Linked DNA regions of Drosophila melanogaster. The protein of the gene in region 1 interacts with the protein of each later gene in a pairwise test. Each region holds a gene or a part of one and is shown on either strand. Other genes may lie near its edges.

Region 1 (10,252 bases):
GACCTGAACCGCGGCGACGACGTGGAGATGTCCATGGCCCCACTAAATAACAAAATAGATAACAATGCATTCTCCATTTACGAGGCGGCCCGCAATCGCATTGAGCGTCCTTCGCTGACCAACCGACTCGTAGTTGGACGCTCAAATACCACCAAGGAGCCTCTCGAGCGCCGCCACCGCGACACAGCAAGCACAAGTAAACTCCCAGAATCGCTGCGGTCTCGTCTGTTTGTCGGTAAGAGGGATCCTCACATTTCTCATGGCATCTACGCCAACGAGAACCGGAGAAAGGCTGTTGGTGGCGGTGGTGCTAGGGATAGCGATAGCGGTACTGATAGTGATGGTGATGCAGCTGCTCCATCGAAGAACAAGCGCCGTTCGCCATCCCCATTGTCGCTGCGTACGTCGAACACAAAGGATGGATACCGCCTGCTGGTGAGCAATCTGCATACTAACGTGACTACTGCGGATATTCGCGAGCTTTTTAGCGACATCGGCCCAGTGTACGACGCTCGTGTGGTGCGTCCCGGCACCGCCGAAGTTATTTACAAGTCACTGGAACATGCCGAGAAGGCCGTAGATACCTATCACCATCGTCAGTTCGATGACCAGCCCATGCACTGTGTGCTGGTTAATCCGCACTCCTCCCGTCGCTCGGTGCACAAAGCCAGGTGAGTGATATGCTTTAAAGATACCAAGCAGTATTGTTCAACGTTCTCGGCCGTAGCTCTCGCACCGTGACCACAAACTCGTCTGGCGTGGAGGTGGACATCGATGCACTTCACTCGGTACTCTTCAGGGTCCGCTAGGAAGCGAGAGGCAGAGCCCGGGAACTAAAGCAACTAGATAATTTTTCTCATCATTTTCATCATCTCCGTAGTATTTAGTTCAACAACGTAGTCCATTTTCATTTCGCGCTTATTAAATTCGAATCGATCCATCCAGCGTATGTTCAGAAAACCAGACTAGTTTAAACGAGAACATTTCTTTACTATAGAAACTTGAATTTTCTAATGCAAATTCTGGCATATCTGTCCACTTCAGTATTCAGTATTAGGTGGCTAAAATTTTTGTCTTATCATCAAAGTAATTCATCAGTCCCACTATATACACAATTAAATGTATGGCATTGATAATGATTTTGCATCCGCTCTTGAAATTTGGTATTGAAAACTTTTCTTTTACCTTTTTTGAATGACACTATGGATTATGATTATACGATAAATAAGAGGACCCAGTAATGTTACAATTGCTTGTATAATATTTCATAAAATGTACAGTTTTTAAATTTCATAAAATTAATTCATAATAATTAAAGAGAAAGGAGCAGTTTGGTAAGCAGTTAAGAGTTGCAAAAAAAAATGTATATGTAAAGTAACTTGGAGGCCGCTTAGTTATCCCGGATGCCCGTTCCGTAGTTGGCGCCGCCGGCACGGTTCAGTGCTTCACGGAAGAGCTCAATGTCCAGCTCGGCCTCCACTCCCGCCTGAAGTTCCACGGCAAAATTCTGCAAGAGATTAGAGATGAGAGGATCTATTTCTGCCTCTGGGCTCTGGCATCTCTAGCTATTGGCTACTCACGTTGAGGACATCCTTGATCAGCGCCTTGTCCGTGGACATCTTGGCCCTCTGGATGACGCCCACCTCCTGCCCGATCCACGTCAGGAAGATGAACTTTTTGCGCTTGGACATCTCGTCACCCATCTGGATGCGTATGTAGCCAAAGGCGCGCTCCGAGTCGCCGAACTGCTGTCGGAATTCCTCAAAGCACTGACCGCGCGCATGTACAATAATCTGGGCGCCATCGAACTTGAATACCGCCCACTCGGTGTCTGTCAGATCGGAGCGTACATCCTCGTAGGCCTCGCGAATCGAGTCCTTCTCCAGCGACGTGGCCAGCGGCATCTGCGAAAGAGCAAGGGGGAAGAGGATTATAAGCAAGCGAAGAGGGGAACTATAAGCAACTTTCAGACGGAAGTATATATCTTAATCATGTATTCCAAGTCCGAATCGTTTCGCCAAGGCGAATGGATCATCCGCTTTGGCCCATCGATAGCGAAATGTATTGTATGTACTCAATGCGGGGCCAAGTACTCTTGACGGCGCCATCTATGAGTCAGATTTAAGCGGTGCTTTCGCTTTCGATGGTTATATTACATTCAATTCGACTTGTTTCCGTGTCAGGCAACCTCAAGTCGGCCAGGGGAATAGGCACGCCATTGCATCGCCCACTTGCATTACGTTCGGGCAGATTCACGGAAAGCAATTTGTTGCCGCTTTAGTGCTTTATAAACATAATACCAGCGGGCCAGCGGAAAAGTAGCCAATGTAAATATGTACATATTTCGAAGAAAAAATAAAGGCTTTATTATGATAACATACTGGAACATACCCGCATATTAAATTACAGCATTTTTGATAATGATATCAGCACACACATATGAGGGTTCAGGGTTCTGGTTCAAAGCCCAAAAATATGATGATTTAAAAATATCGATATGTAAATGAATTTAAATTGCTTGATAAGTTCGAATGGCTTGATAGTGAAATGTAAAAAACCAAGTCTCAATACGATTTTGGTTAGCTAAAGATTAATTTTAATTGTGGTTTATTAAGTGATCTTTGGGGTAGCATTATGTGCACAAAGTTAGGCTCAGCTTAGATGCGTGGAAAGCGTGTAAAGCGATTGGATCGATGGTTTTTGATACGAGTATACTTGTAGTACGGATCGGAAAACTACCCTTTCACGTAGTGCACTCTTATTGTCTTAAGCGGATCGCCGCATTAAAATCAATTTACGCGTGACAATTTTCAATCAGCAGCCGGCGGAAAGCAGGTCAGAGATTTGATAAGTGACTTGGGGTCGTCGGAACGGGATGACAACAAACAAAGAGAGCCAAATGACTGTTGGTCCAACTGCCAGCCAAATGGATCGGGCTTGGAGTCAGGAACTAGACTCGCGTATAAATAGACATTGAAGCTGGGCCAGAGATACGGATACAGATACAGCTAAAGGTACAAATACAGATACAGATACAGATACCGATGGGAAGATGGAGATAGAGATCGCTCTATAATGCGTTCAATGACCGGAGAGTACGGCGTCTGGTGAGAAAAATCAATTAGAAAAGCGACGACTGTCGAAAATATCAAAAGCCAAACAATTAAACCCAAAGATGTTTCGGGCGACGACTTTCACAACGCGACGCAGTAAGAACTTGGAGTTTGTATGTGTATTCTATGCGTCGCATAGAACTATGGAACAGCTCTGAATCTCCCGTTTCGTGGCTCTGAATTAATTAGTCGGAAGGCAGGCAAAAAAAAAAAAAAAATGAACAAGATGCGGACGCAAACTGTGCCAAAAATGAGCGGACGACTAAGAAACCGTTGCAGCGAATGACCCACCGAAAATACCCGACAAATTTTCCCCCAAACAAGCAAGATAGCAGATACAAATGTATATAGAAATGTCGGTGCTCCTCCTGCAACCTCCACGGGTACGTGAGCCAAATTGTTGGCTAAAATTAGCTGAAATTAAGTTTCCAGCCGATAAGCCCGATAACGTTCGCACATATGTATCTATATACATATATATGCCTATATGGCCATATCTCCACTTCTGACACAATGACAACACGACAAATTAGATCACTCCAGTTGGGCTGGGAGTGCACCCAAAGATCGGATAGGATAGGCTCGGATAGCCCCACCTCCGGAATTGACGCAATGCCATCTATTTGCTCTGATAAGAAAACTGTCGCAAAACTAAAGGAACTGTAATTGATTTATTACCGAAAGTTCTTGGGATCGCCCGGGCAATTAGTGCCGGTTAAATCTGTAGGGCTCGCCTGTTCCAATTTTACACGCCATAAAAATTCAGCAGAGATTGACGCTTAGTCATAGGAATCGAGATATTGCGCTGGCTTCAGGAAATATATCGAAAAAAGGGAAACTACAATAGTTTCAAGGAAAGTCAGAGTGCGTCATCCTCGAAAGATTCGCATAGAAAAGCGAGCGACAGTAGCCAGTCCATAATTGATACGGTTAATCGTGATTCGTGATTCTCGATGGAAAACAGTGAGCAACAGTCTGATAAGTAACCTTGTAGCGATGACAGGAAATGTATATGCATACATATTTTCAGTTTCACTTGGAACCACCAATAATCCTAACAGATCCATTGAGTTAGCCACCTTTCCAGCAGGAAAGCCATCTGCCAAACAATTCGCGCTACTCAAATGGCTTGCGGCCATATCCGATAGATAGATGTACATATGTATTATATCTATCTATATATGTGGATTCGTACGTAATGAGCCATATATGCCCATGTGTGCATTCATACAGCACGCTGCATTGCCAGCTAGATATATGTAGCTATAGTATCTATAGCTATATCCATCGATATCTGGCAATGAGCGGGCCGGCGATGCATCAAACGCGGCTATAACTGCAGCTAAACGTAACCAAGCATAATACAGCAAATAACAATTTGCTAACGAAAACGAAACCGAATCCCCAGCGCCAGGTGCTTGAAACTGACTTGCTGCGTAACTCAACGCTGATACCCTTGTGAAAGGTATCGCAGTTGTAGAAATTCTTGGGATACCTTTAAAATAAACATCTATGAGAACGTATTGTATGTAAATAATCCTGTCCTTAAGTAAACAGCAAGCTATCGAGAACTACAGAGTGAATGGTATTATATCCGTATCTTTTATCATTCGATGCCTGGTATACACCACTGACATTATTTCAAGTTAACTCTGTTTGTATAGTTTATATATCTAATTGTATGGTATATATAGATCGTGAGCTCATAAAGCAAATACTGAAGTATGAACAATAAAAGTTAGAGTATTCACTTTCGATTGCACTAAACATTTTGTATTTTATTCGCTTTTTCATTGTGTATGTACAAGTGGACCGAAAGTGTTTTATGTTGACTAATGAATTTCAGATAAGAAACGAAAAAAATTCCAAATAATACGATCGGGCATGAATAAAGGAAAATAAAGGAGAGGCGATGCAGATATATATATGACATACATGCACAGTGAAAACACAATATGCGGAATATTCGTGGGTCGATGCAACTGACTCATTGGCAAGGCAATTGGAAAATAACCAATAAATTGCAGCGAATCGGTTATTAACCGCTTCGCCTTGGCCAGACTAAGTCCAAAAAAAAAAAAAAAATAAATAAAACAAGCAAAAAAAATAATTGGCAATGTTGTGACAAATTGCCAGTTGCCGCAGCGCAGTCGCAATGACGTACTTGCTCCGGGTCTGGGACCGCCGATATGTCAATGTTCTTTTTCCCCCACTTTACTTTACTTTATTTCATTTCATTTTATTTCTTATTTTTATTCCGCTGCCGTCGATGTTTCATTCGCCACGCACACTAGCACAAACAGTGCAGGAAACAAAGGAGCAAACTGTTTTGTGGCTGCTCACGCCCCAGACGCCCGGAGTCGGGGGATCTGGGATGCCGGATGGGGTTGTGGATGGTCATTCTGATGGGTACGGGGTATCGGTATGGGGTACGGGTTGCGGGTTGCGGGAAACGAGGTTCCGAGTGCGTGATTCATGCCGCCTGAAGGTGACGACGACGACGACGACTCGGGGAGTGGATGACCAAAATTGGCGCGTCAGGAAGCGATTCCCGAGCATTGAAAGGGTGTGGAATGGCCGATATCCCCATCGATTCCATACACTTTTATTACTCACTTGTTTGCCTGCACTTGGAAACCTCGAAATTGTAATATTTATTGGCCTGCACAATCGTTTTGTTTGATGCCATAGAGATTAGGTTGGCGAACAAGTGCTGTGCACCAAAAGTCACATGAAACGCAGATCTTGCGATCAGCTGAACGAAGTACCCGCAAGATAATGGCACTGCAACCATTTACCCAGCTCCCAGTGCCCGCTAAATACCGTAATCTGGAAAGCTATACGTGTTTGCCAGGGCGACGGACTGCGCCGCATTAACCGCAGCGTCTTCGTTGGGTATCGATGGTGTCTCGAGATCCCAGCGAGCAAGTGCAGCAGCGGCAGCCGCACTGCAAACGCACTTGAACTTGATATGCATCGCTGCGAAGGCGTCGCATTCGGATTCAGTTTTTGGGTTCGGATTCGGATTCGGAGTCGCCCCCACAATCTGCATCCGCCCCCGCAATCGCATCCAGCCAAGATGATATTGCCCCTCGGTACTCAGTCCCTGTTCCTGCCCTGCCCTGCCCCTTTCCGCCCAGCCAGCCAGAGCCATAAAACCCAGCTGCCACCCCGCCTCCTGGACCTCTGGCCCTCTGGGGCCGGTTCTTGTGGAGCGGAGTCGCCGGCGAGCCAATGTCAGAGTTATTTACAGACACTCACGCATGCCCAGCGATATACACACACGCCGCATGGGCCTGGGCTTCAGCAACTCCAGTGTGTACACCGGAAGAAAACTGTATTTTGTATCCTTAAAGCCAATGTCCGAGTTCAATACCACTGTTGGTAATTGAATTTTTATATTATTGTATATTTCTACTAATCCCCAATATTTTTCAATATATATTTGAACAATTTAAAGTTCGAAAATCGATCATTATTCTCAAGAGAATATTATTTTTTTTTAGCATTCTTTAATTGTAGGTATTTATAATGTAGTGGTGATTAGAACTTTCTTCCATTTTAAGGTTGTGCCATCGGATTGGCTCAGCCTTAAAAGTGATCAGCATACTGAGTACCCGTTTTCTTTCGGTGCATTTATAAGATATCTCTCCGGCCTGCTCTCTGACTCTCTGGACTTCTGGCTGCCCCATCCAATCTTTTATAATTCTTAATTTTCGGTCGTCCCCTGCCGGTATACACACACATTTCATGGTCCCTGCCCGGAGCAGGACTACCGACTCCATCCATCTCCAACTCCAACTCGAACTCCATGTGTGCCCAACCCACTCCCCACTACTCACCCTTCTCGGCTTGCTCTCCACCAATTGCTCGACCTCGATGCCGTCCGACATGCTGGTGCGCTGTGTTCTGGATGTGGATGTAGATATGGTTTTCAATGCGCAGCTGGGATGCTGGTGCTCTTGGGAACAGCTTCCTGGGATCGCGGGTGAGTCTCGAAGGGGAACGGAGTGCTGGTCTGGCGGGAAGAGTTGACCGTTTGCAAGGTGACAAAGTGGCAGAGTGGCAGAGTGGCACAATGACAACGAAAACAAAAATACACAGCGCCAGAAAAACAACAAAAAAACACAATCCAAGCGCACAAAGAGCGATGGACAGAACCAGCACAGTTCCAGATATCCAGATATTAGAGCAGCCGCTGAACTTCGTCCGACCACCACGAGTTGTATCTCACGAATGCGGCGTTGCCGGCGTCTGCAACTCCGAATGAAGTGCCGACCGTCGACCGCCGAAGTCGGCGGCGCAGTCGCCGTGCGTGCGAGCGAGATGCACTGGCCAGAAGGCCCCACGGCAGCTGTTAGACAAACAGCAGGTGCGACAGAGACGGCTGCGTGGGGAGCAAGCGAGAGCGGGCGAACTGCGACGATGTCGCCGCATTTGGCTTTATTTTCATTTTCATTTTCAGTGCAGGCATTTCGGAAACACCAAAAAAAGCCAGATGTTGGCTAGTGTTTTATGCGTACACCGCGAGAAAATTTAGTCTGCTAGATGCTCCTATAATGATAATGAAGTTTGCATAAATACTTCGTGTTAGCCATCTTAACTGGCAATGGCCACAGGAAACCATAACATCGTGCGCAAATATATGTATAGTCAGATGGATAGAAAAACAACGACTGTACTCCTCCATCTAAACTATGTACGTCCTTAAGGATCAGCTGAATCCCTTGAAGAAGATCTCTTCCTCGATGGTGAAGAGGCTTACGAGAAGTGAATTCTATCTATTCTATCAAAACATGAATTTATTGGATTTATTGGGTTTCTTCGGCAACACGGATTCCTGGCATAGTCATATCCAGTATCCCAGTGGAGTCACGTCTTACCACTGCAGCTCCCGGTCATGTTATTTTCCTTCATCGAGGGCTATTCCATTCACTTCCTGCGCCGAAAAAACGAGCAACAATTGCAAGCGAAAAGGTAGTCTTTGAAATAGATGCTATAGGTGCTAATCGGAATCGCTATATATCCAAAACTATGTCTAGATCAGCACTGATCCCTGCCAGCTTGTCGGCTGGGAATGCGATCCGTGGAATTAGCGCAGAACATTTGTGCAAACACATAACGAGCCGAGATTGTATTCTCTGGCACTCAAGTGCCGTAGGAATGCGGCTGATTTGATGATTAGCGCGGTGCGTGGGCCGAACAGCAGCTGCTCCGCCGCTGCAGACGCCATGGATGATGCAGTGCACCGTATTAATTTGTCCCAATCGGCAGGGAACGTCCTCCGCGCAACATGGGAGTTGCCCGGCAACAGGGCTGCCTGGCAGCATGCTGCTAGCCACAAGTTGCCGTGGTGAGTTTGCGCCATTCGGCATCGCCCACGCAACATGTTGCGGCAGCTAGCCCAGCGGAGCGGAGGCGTCGTCCTCGTCCGCCAGTCGTCAGTTGCCCACGACGCGTTACCCGCAACGGTAGCAGGCGAGCCCTCTCCTGGCAGCCAAAGCCGCCAGCTCGTGTGCTCGGATACCCCCGAGTTCCATATCGCAATCTTTGCCAGCCTGCGCGCAAGCGTCGCCGTTTCAATAGCAATTGAGTGAAATTTTATTTTATTTTTTTCGGTGACCCGCAACGGGACATGTCAGGCGGTGGTGGCCAGTGATTGCCACGAATCACCCGGTCATCCGGGATGTTCAACTACGAGGAGGGGGATGCCGACCAGGCGGCCATGGCTGCAGCGGCTGCCTATAGGGCACTGCTCGACTACTATGCCAATGCGCCAAGTGCGGCGGGTCACATAGTGTCGCTCAACGTGGCACCCTACAATGGAACTGGAAACGGAGGCACTGTCTCCTTGGCGGGCAATGCGACAAGCAGCTATGGCGATGATGATAGGGATGGCTATATGGACACCGAGCCCAGTGACCTGGTCACCGAACTGGCCTTCTCCCTGGGCACCAGTTCAAGTCCAAGTCCCAGTTCCACACCCGCTTCCAGCTCCAGTACTTCCACTGGCATGCCCGTCTGGCTGATACCCAGCTATAGCATGATTCTGCTGTTCGCCGTGCTGGGCAACCTGCTGGTCATCTCGACGCTGGTGCAGAATCGCCGGATGCGTACCATAACCAACGTGTTCCTGCTCAACCTGGCCATATCGGACATGCTGCTGGGCGTGCTCTGCATGCCCGTCACCCTGGTGGGCACCCTGCTGCGAAACTTCATCTTTGGCGAGTTCCTCTGCAAGCTCTTTCAGTTCTCGCAAGGTGAGTGGAGTCCTCCCGGTAAACGGCAACCACTAAATGCCTAAACGCCTGGCTTATTTAACGACCTGTCCCACTGGAGGGAGCTGCGTTCTCGGACATTATAAGTAACCGCCTAATATTAGCTTAGCTGTCCCAATTCCCCCATCTTCTGTAGCCTTCAATTAGTTGGAATTACAAATACATAAGTTGAGGGCCCTATTTATGGCGCGTGTGAGTTGGGGGCGACCGGGATTCGTAGTTTCCTTGGTTCCTAGGTTCTTGGGCTCTTGGGTTCCTGCGCATTTAGGTTCGTTGGTGGGGCATTAAAATAATTTTTTACGATTATCGTCGCATGTGGATCGTTTTATTGGCCCTGTCTTGCGGGGAAGAGCTCATAAAGCGCGCAAAACAACAAGTTGTGTAAAAGGTGGGCATACAATGTCCTGGTTTCCATCTCCACCTAGTTACCCCTTTATTTCCATACCACCATACCCATACCCACATCCGTATCCATATCCCTGTGCGTGTCGCATGTTCTCAGAAAACTGAAAATGGAAATGAGAATCATAATGTGGGCCCATGTTATTGACAGAGTGTGCGCCATTGTCTGTGGACAGGATACGGATAGCGTGCATCCTTAAGAGTCGCACGGCCATCGCATAACTTCAAATCAAACGCGTTGGCAGGACAACAGTTGGACGTGATTAAAAAGACATTTGTTGGCGCTACTTGGGGGGCCACGGACAATTAAATGGGCTTTCGAAAGAAAAACTGGCAGCTCGTTCTTTATGTTTATGTGAAACGGCGCATTAGCAACGGCGTTGTAAATACATATTTCACGATTTCGGTAATTCGCTTGCCCATTGCGTCATGTGGCAGGTTGCCCCAGTAATCCCGGCC
Region 2 (7,456 bases), on another chromosome or scaffold:
TTTATTCAACAATAACAAGAAAACGAAGTCTTCGTCTTTTCTGCGCAGCCAAACAGCTGGTGGCGAAAACCAATCGATGTTATCGATAAGTACACTGGCCAACATATTCACTTCTTTTTTTAAGTTTCCTAAACATTTTATCAACATTATTTTATCATTTTTTATATTGGCAATACTTTTTCAAAAATCGCGGATTTAAATATTTCCTAATTGAAATTTTATTTTACACACTTATTTCATTAAGGAACATCGATATACCGCACACCAACTAATAACAATCGATAATATGGTATGAGTTCAAATACATAATTCAATTTAAAAAAGGCCGCGAATTTTGTATGTGACAAGTACTTTAGAGTGGAGTTTATTCCAATAACTTTGAATTTACAAACATAAGAATGAAACTCTATTCGAATTATTTAATATGCTAATAACTAATTTATGGGGAAAGGTCATCTTGCTTCGGAGTTGGAAGAACGTGAAGAAAGTAAAGAAGTGAACAAGATCGATACAGATACACCTCTTTAGTTCGGCATGACGGACCCATTAAACTGATTATAAATTTATGTAACGGGCACACTGCAATCTGTTTGTTGAATAAATTCGAAATGGGCCATGACGAGAGCCAAAATCAACCCACCACCAAGAGTCCAGGTGACAAATGTGCCGAGTATTTCATTGGGTTGCTTAAAGAACTTGAAATGAGAACTTTAATTTAAGGTGCAAACCAATATATACCCTTGTATATAGCGGATATTCAATGTTATTAAATATTTAATATAACTTTTATTTAGATTGAAAATGGGTATAGTGTGCATTGAGAATTCAATCGAAAAGGTTTATAAACGATTTAACATTTACACAAAATTAATTTGTGAAAAAATATGGTTTAAAATGTAGTTTTAATTTAATTAATGTTAATTTTTCAATTTTCCAAGACCAGTTCTTTTTCATTGTAGTATAGTATACCCAAATAAAGAGCCACAAATGTTGTGTTGATACTCGTATTTACATAAAAAGCCCAAACAGGCGGCTTTAACGAAAGCGTTGCCATCAAATCTGACTGCCAATGTCCACCAACCACCATTCCGAGAAGAGAACTTTCAAAGCGGACAATCGTGTGTAAAAAGAAAGTAGGTGGGTAGGTAGGAAACATAAACAAAGTGTGAGCCATAGAACCGGGTACACATAAAAAAAAAGGTTGCAACCATAATTTCTTTATTTGATCTCTACAAAATGATACTACTTTTGATAATAGAGAAAGTGTTATGATTATCTTAATATGTTATTTTGATCTCTCTATATAAACATTTAACTTAACTCTATCCCAACACAATAAGCGGTTCTGATCTTTGCATAACAATTTTTTTTCTCTGTAAAAACCAAAGCTCTTCTGCTCTTTCTTCGCCCTCTCTTTTGTCTCGTTTTTTTTTCTGAAGACGGCGAACCTGACGTGGTGTTCAAAGCGCAGGCGTAAAGAATTCCATTCCGCGAGAGAGAGTCTGTCTGGAAACAGGTGAGAGCGGCGAATAGAGTTGGAGATTTGGATCCGAAGAAAGGGGAGTCCAGAGAGCGCTCACATCGAACATGTTCGATGGCCCCCAAAGAATCGTTGGCTTAAGAAGTGTTACAAACTGGCCCAGAGCCGCAGAAGAAAGAAAGTTTTCGGCTGTGCTGGCTGCTCTACGCTGCGATCTCCGTTCTCCGTTCTCCAATCTTTGTAATATCTGTTTAGATATACATAGTTATAGTATATACATACATATATTTCGTGTGCTCAGTGGAGCGTCTTCCGCGTTTTGTGGCTGCGTCGCTTAATTGGCCCAAAAGTATCTCAAGTGTGTGATTGTGAAAGTTCCTGAAGCAAAATGTACGTGAGACGAGCTCTGCTCTTGGCCTGCCTGCTGTGCCTCCAGCCGCTGGGTCCATCTATGGCCAGCGAGGATGAGTCCAATCCGCTGCTGGACATGGCCTCCATGTTCTTCCAGGAGGCGCTGTCCAACCAGAACGGTGGCAACAATGGAGGAGGCGGTGCTGGTTTGGCGGGTGTGGCCTCGCTAATTGGCACCTTCATGCAAGCGAGTGGCAAATCTGGAGGCGCCGGAGCAGGAGGCGGCGGTGCTGGTGGCGCCATGCAGATCCTCTCGGGCCTGGGCAGTCTTCTGTCCAAGAGTCAGGGCGGTCAGAGCGGTGGCTTCGATCCCTCCATCATTGGCAATGTCCTCGAGATGTTCACCCAGGGCGATGACGAGGAAGCCACTCCACAGCAAAAGCGCAGCAATGGCGGTGGCTCTGAATCTGGCATTGGTCTGGATACCATACTGCAAGTGGCATCCGCCTTCATGAACACCCAGGGCAACGATAAGGCCACACATCATCACCAGCAGAAGCGATCCACCGCCACGGAACCGGAATCCGAGAACGGACTGATGAACCTTCTGCCACTGGTCATGCAGGCGGTTAGCTCCTTTGCCGGTCCCGAGGGTCAGAGCACCCAGGAGAAGCACAAGAGCCACGCCTGGGTGCTGCCCCCATTCCTGGAGCACATTCACGTGCTGTGGGATCACTTCTCCAACTCCGAGCTGGCTGATGCGTTGTACGAGAAGTCCGGAGTTAACAAAATCATGAAGGTGGATGCATAAATCAGACTTAACTATATATTGTTGACGTTTTGATGTTAGAACATTTTATTAGATTTTAGTACGCTTTTTGCATAAAATATAGCACTTTTTAATACAATATTGGAAAATATTCAACATATTAAAGACCTTAGGAACACATTAAGAGTAAACTATTTTGACTACACATGCGTAAACAAAATGTAGAGAAAATCTTTAAAACAAAATAATCTATATATACTCATTTAAATTGATATAGAAACAATTAGCGGAAAAAAAAACAATTTAAAATTTGTTTCCTAGCTAAAATACAAATTCAAATTCTGAAATGTTACGCTACTAAAATAATATGTTAAATACCAATTTGTAATGCTAATTACTCTACTCTTATCCACCTCCAGGGCTTCAAGGGTTCCGATGGCAAGCTGGACTATGATAAGCTCTTCGAGTCGCTGAATAACCAATCCTTCCGTCGCCGCTGGATCAAGTCGGCCACACTCTACCTGGCCGACTGGGCCAGCTACCTGGCCAATCCCGAGGTGTATCTCAGGTGAGTCTCGGCCGGCCAACGTGGCTCGATCTTCAGCGATGGCCAAAGCGTGTTAATTGTGGATCACGTTCTGCTCTGCAACGGTCCCAGTGCATTTAGCACCTGGCTGCCATTCTTGGTCACACTCCAAGACCACCTTCCAGTCCAAATCCGATGCCCATTCCGATTCTAATTCAGAATCAGATTTCGAACAGCTGCTGGCAAAGCCTGTGCTAACCATTTCCCGTTAGCGACAACCCGTTTGGCCATCGAGCATGTTCGATGCGGCTACCTTTTGACCCACTTTTTTCGGTGCTGGTGCTGCTTTTAGAACGTGCCTGCTAATCCAACTGGTCAACAACAGTGGCAAGTACCAAGTCCAGGCACTGATACAGTTACAGTTGATATGCAGAAGATACAGAAGTCAACGGCATCGTTAAAACAAACAAATAAATAAAGCGGGCCAAAACCGGTTGGCGGTTTTAGCCAGGGGAAATTGCCTTGGCAGACCGGGTACACATGTCTGAAAAATCAAGTAATTCTTATCTACAAATCTTCTCAATTCATAATGACCAATCGAAACTGTTATTTAAAATGCAATAGTATAAGTATTAATTATATGTATTCCTTAAGCAAATCTCCAAAACTATGAATACTTTTCACATAGGAAAAACGACTTGGGAATTATAAGAAATCAGCATGCAGCGAGCAGAAAAACATTAATTTAAGCAATTTTTCTTTGTGTACACATTGGATTCAGACATTTTTGCATGATTCTTAAGTAGGTCAGGCTTCTCAGACTTCTTGGTCTTCTTATTTTTTGTTTGTTTTTGTTTTGCGTTGCCCCCAACGTTAGACAACAACAAAAGCGCACAACAACTTCCACTTTCTAGAGACCCTTTCACTCGGCGGTGCTGCGTGATTGAAACTCATCAATTTGCCCGCTTCTCGGCACTTTCTTATACAGGTACTTCCAGACGGCACAGATCATGTTTAACGGCTTGCTGAAGTCTCAAGGTTACCCCAAGCAGACCCACTTCGATCCCTCCCGTCCGGGCGAGACCATCTCGAATCTCTTGGACCATGTGGCCAAGCATCATCTGAACGTTAAGATCGATTCGAGGCAGTACGTCAAGCCAGCCGTGGGCTATGCCAAGGAACTGCTAAAACTTGGCCAGGCACGCGGATTACTTCAGTTCAATGCCACCGAGATCAGCGACAAGCTAACGGATACGCTTAACCTGGAGGTAAGCAGATTCTCTGAACTCTGAACTTAACTGATATGGGAACTGGGCAACGCAGTTGGTAATTGGAGATATATATCTGAGAATAGGAAATAGCTGAGGTGAAAATAATAGCACTAATTAAATAGTAATTCTGTTTAAAGTTATGTACTATATGATCCTTATATGTATGATTACTTTACTGAAGTTGCTGATAGTAGCTAAAGTATAAAGTATAAAGTACTAAAGGAGCTAATAGGAACTGATTACATTACTGAACTATATCATTGAAAACTATAACTAATTTATCCCATATGATTCTTGCAAATGCTTTGACCCATTTCGACGTAAAATGAATTTGTTATAATTGAATAACTTGGCCCAGTTAGATGTACTAAACACTTAGTTTGAAGCAAATCAAATTAATTACGCCACTATTTTCTCCTCCACGCATCCGTCAATGGATCAAATGGCAAACAGGTTATTGAACCGGTGCTGAAAGTCCATCGCGCCTACAGATACATCTCCAAGTCGCCGCAATGCGATCGCTACGTGCTCTGTCAGCTGAATGCAGCGGCTCTCGATCAGCAGGAGAAGCAGAGGCAGCACGACCAATACCAGCAGCACCACCAGCCCAAGCAGAGCCAACTGAATCGCCCGACATCGGCGTCCAGTCTAATTGCCGGAGTTAGTCCGAAAATCGTTAAGATCGGGAGCATGGGTGCGGCAATCTTCATTAGCACGGAAACCGGTACGCCGTTCTGGACCCTCTTCGGTGTGATCAATGCGCCATACAATTGCGAGGTGAGTAATAACGGCCACAGTGATGCACTGAAAAGAAATGGAATACATCTAGCATGAAGATGATGAAATCTCTAAGGGGATATAAAAGATAACTAAAAGTATGCTGCGTTACGTAGAACGTATTCTTTTGGTACTCTTTTTGTACGAGTAAATAATCATATATATTTTTCTCTCTCTGTACTTCCATTTGTCGCCGCTTTCTAACCGATATTTCTGCGATTGCACGCCAACAGGCCAAATATCCAGTCGACTGCAATGGTTTCCACGAGGGCGAGGCCAAGGTGACCACGGAATATATCCACAACGAGTTGTAGTATTCCAGTTGCAAATGGACAAGCGAGATCCGGACAAGAAAAGTAGAAGACGAAGGCTCATTAAGACGATTTAGCTGTAATTGAGATAAAGATTTCGTGTGTATATAGTATTACGGATTGAAATATATATTTAAATTTAAACAGAACCTTTTATTTTAAACTGTGTCATAAGGGTCATGAGATGGTTATCTAACTATTTCTAATCATAGTTGTTGTCTACAGATTTTACGATCTATTTGAAGTCAACGAACCGCAAAAGAAAAGCCATCCAACTACAGTCAAACTTAGCTAAGTGAGATCACTTTAAATAATCAGACCAATAAGACAATTTTCAGGATTTTCACTTTAATGATTTTGAATTTTAGTTATTCAAAAACCTGATCTTAGTTTCAGGCAACTTATTGAAGCCTTAATTCACCTTACAAGAGCTTTTTTTGCTGCACAAACCAGTTCGTGTTGGTGGAAAGTCCCATTTCAGTGCCTCGTTTGAACTTGCACTTGCACTTGCCACTCGACTTGACTTTGACTTCATTGTGCTTTGGTAATTTGGCCAAAGCAGTTGAAAGATACAGGAGCCATGCAGCTAATTTATCGTGAACTCGAGGAGGACATACTTCGACGCACTAATGCAGTCTTTCCGGTACAAAATTGCTTTGTTGAGGTCCTCCCCGATCAGTTTATCATTCCCAGAAAGTACGTGGAGCTGGGCGAATCGATTCGATCGCTTCCCGTTTACCAGGACGACGTATGGATGGTGTCCTATCCACGAACCGGATCGACGTGGGCCCAGGAGATGGTCTGGCTGCTGGGTCACCAATTGGATTACGTGGCCGCTGAGCAAGATTTAAGATTGCGATCTCCGCTCATTGAACTATCCGCTTTGTTTAGCATCGATCATCACGAGACGGTGGCGTGAGTATGAAGAAACTATATCATTCTGAACTCATATACACATTACTTGTACACTAATGTATATATATATAAGTGAGTGAAGCGGGGAAAAATTCATATTCAAAAAGCTTTTTCACCTCTTTGCACTTTCTCCTCGCCTGACAGCCAAAAGTTTGGCAATACCGTGGATCTGGTTCGCAATCTGCCACGCCCACGTTTTGCACGCTCCCACCTGCCGTGGCCTTTGCTACCCGAGCAATTTGAGACGGTAAAGCCGAGGATCGTGTATACTGCTCGAAATCCCAAGGATCTTTGCGTCTCGTACTATCACTACTTCAAGTTGCTGCACGGCATGAATGGGGACTTTGAGCAATTCGTGGATCTCTTCCTGGAGGGGCACACACCGATGGGATCCTATTGGCGGCACGTCCTGCCCTTTTGGAAACGTAGCCAGGATGATAATGTGCTGTTCATCAAGTACGAGGACATGGTCAAGGATCTGCCCAGTGTAGTTCGCCGCTGTGCCAGATTCCTGGGCGTTCAAAGTCTCCTCGATGTGAGCACTTTGCAGAAATTGTGCGATCACCTCACATTCGACAAGATGCGGGCGAACAAGGCGGTGAATCTGGAGAAGCTGCTCCCGGAATCATCTTCCAAGTTCATACGCAATGGCAAGATCGGGGATTGGCGCAATCACATGGGCAATGAGATGTCGGAACGCTTTGATGAATGGACCGAGAGACATATGCGTGGTTCTGGATTAAACTTTGACTACGTGTGAAAAACCCCACTTGCTAATAATATTTTTTGTGTTAAAATATTTTAATAAACTTAATTGGATTATGGGCGTATAAAATACGTTTATGGAGGCGATGAATAGTTATAAAAAGACTTATTGGTTACTTATCCGTAAATTAAATTAAATTACCAATTTTTTTTAATTTCTTGTCTTTAAAAACTTTTTTTCCACTTTTTATCAACATTTAAGCTTTCAAAAACATAAAAACATAAAATTAACAAGGTTTGTGTTTAAATCTGAGACCACCAGTCTTTTCTAAACTGCTCTTGCGAACACTA

The links.
Region 2: the proteins of CG6891 (region 1) and CG8420 interact in a two-hybrid assay, tested with the Drosophila melanogaster proteins (one large-scale study listed by BioGRID).

What each region holds. Positions count from the first base shown.
Region 1 is NC_004354.4:18,772,333-18,782,584, reverse strand, and holds CG6891 (uncharacterized protein), read right to left. Parts: upstream 7,358-10,252; 5' UTR 7,007-7,357; coding exon 6,956-7,006; intron 6,088-6,955; exon of another isoform or gene 5,730-6,087; intron 2,953-5,729; exon of another isoform or gene 2,740-2,952; intron 1,905-2,739; coding exon 1,581-1,904; intron 1,508-1,580; coding exon 1,391-1,507; 3' UTR 1,240-1,390; downstream 1-1,239. Other genes in the region: CG18259 (uncharacterized protein), read left to right, coding at 1-671, 728-809; CCKLR-17D3 (Cholecystokinin-like receptor at 17D3), read left to right, coding at 8,800-9,373.
Region 2 is NT_033777.3:9,245,806-9,253,261, forward strand, and holds CG8420 (uncharacterized protein), read left to right. Parts: upstream 1-1,643; 5' UTR 1,644-1,868; coding exon 1,869-2,630; intron 2,631-3,019; coding exon 3,020-3,168; intron 3,169-4,114; coding exon 4,115-4,394; intron 4,395-4,850; coding exon 4,851-5,174; intron 5,175-5,407; coding exon 5,408-5,488; 3' UTR 5,489-5,626; downstream 5,627-7,456. Other genes in the region: St2 (sulfotransferase 2), read left to right, coding at 6,066-6,400, 6,545-7,160.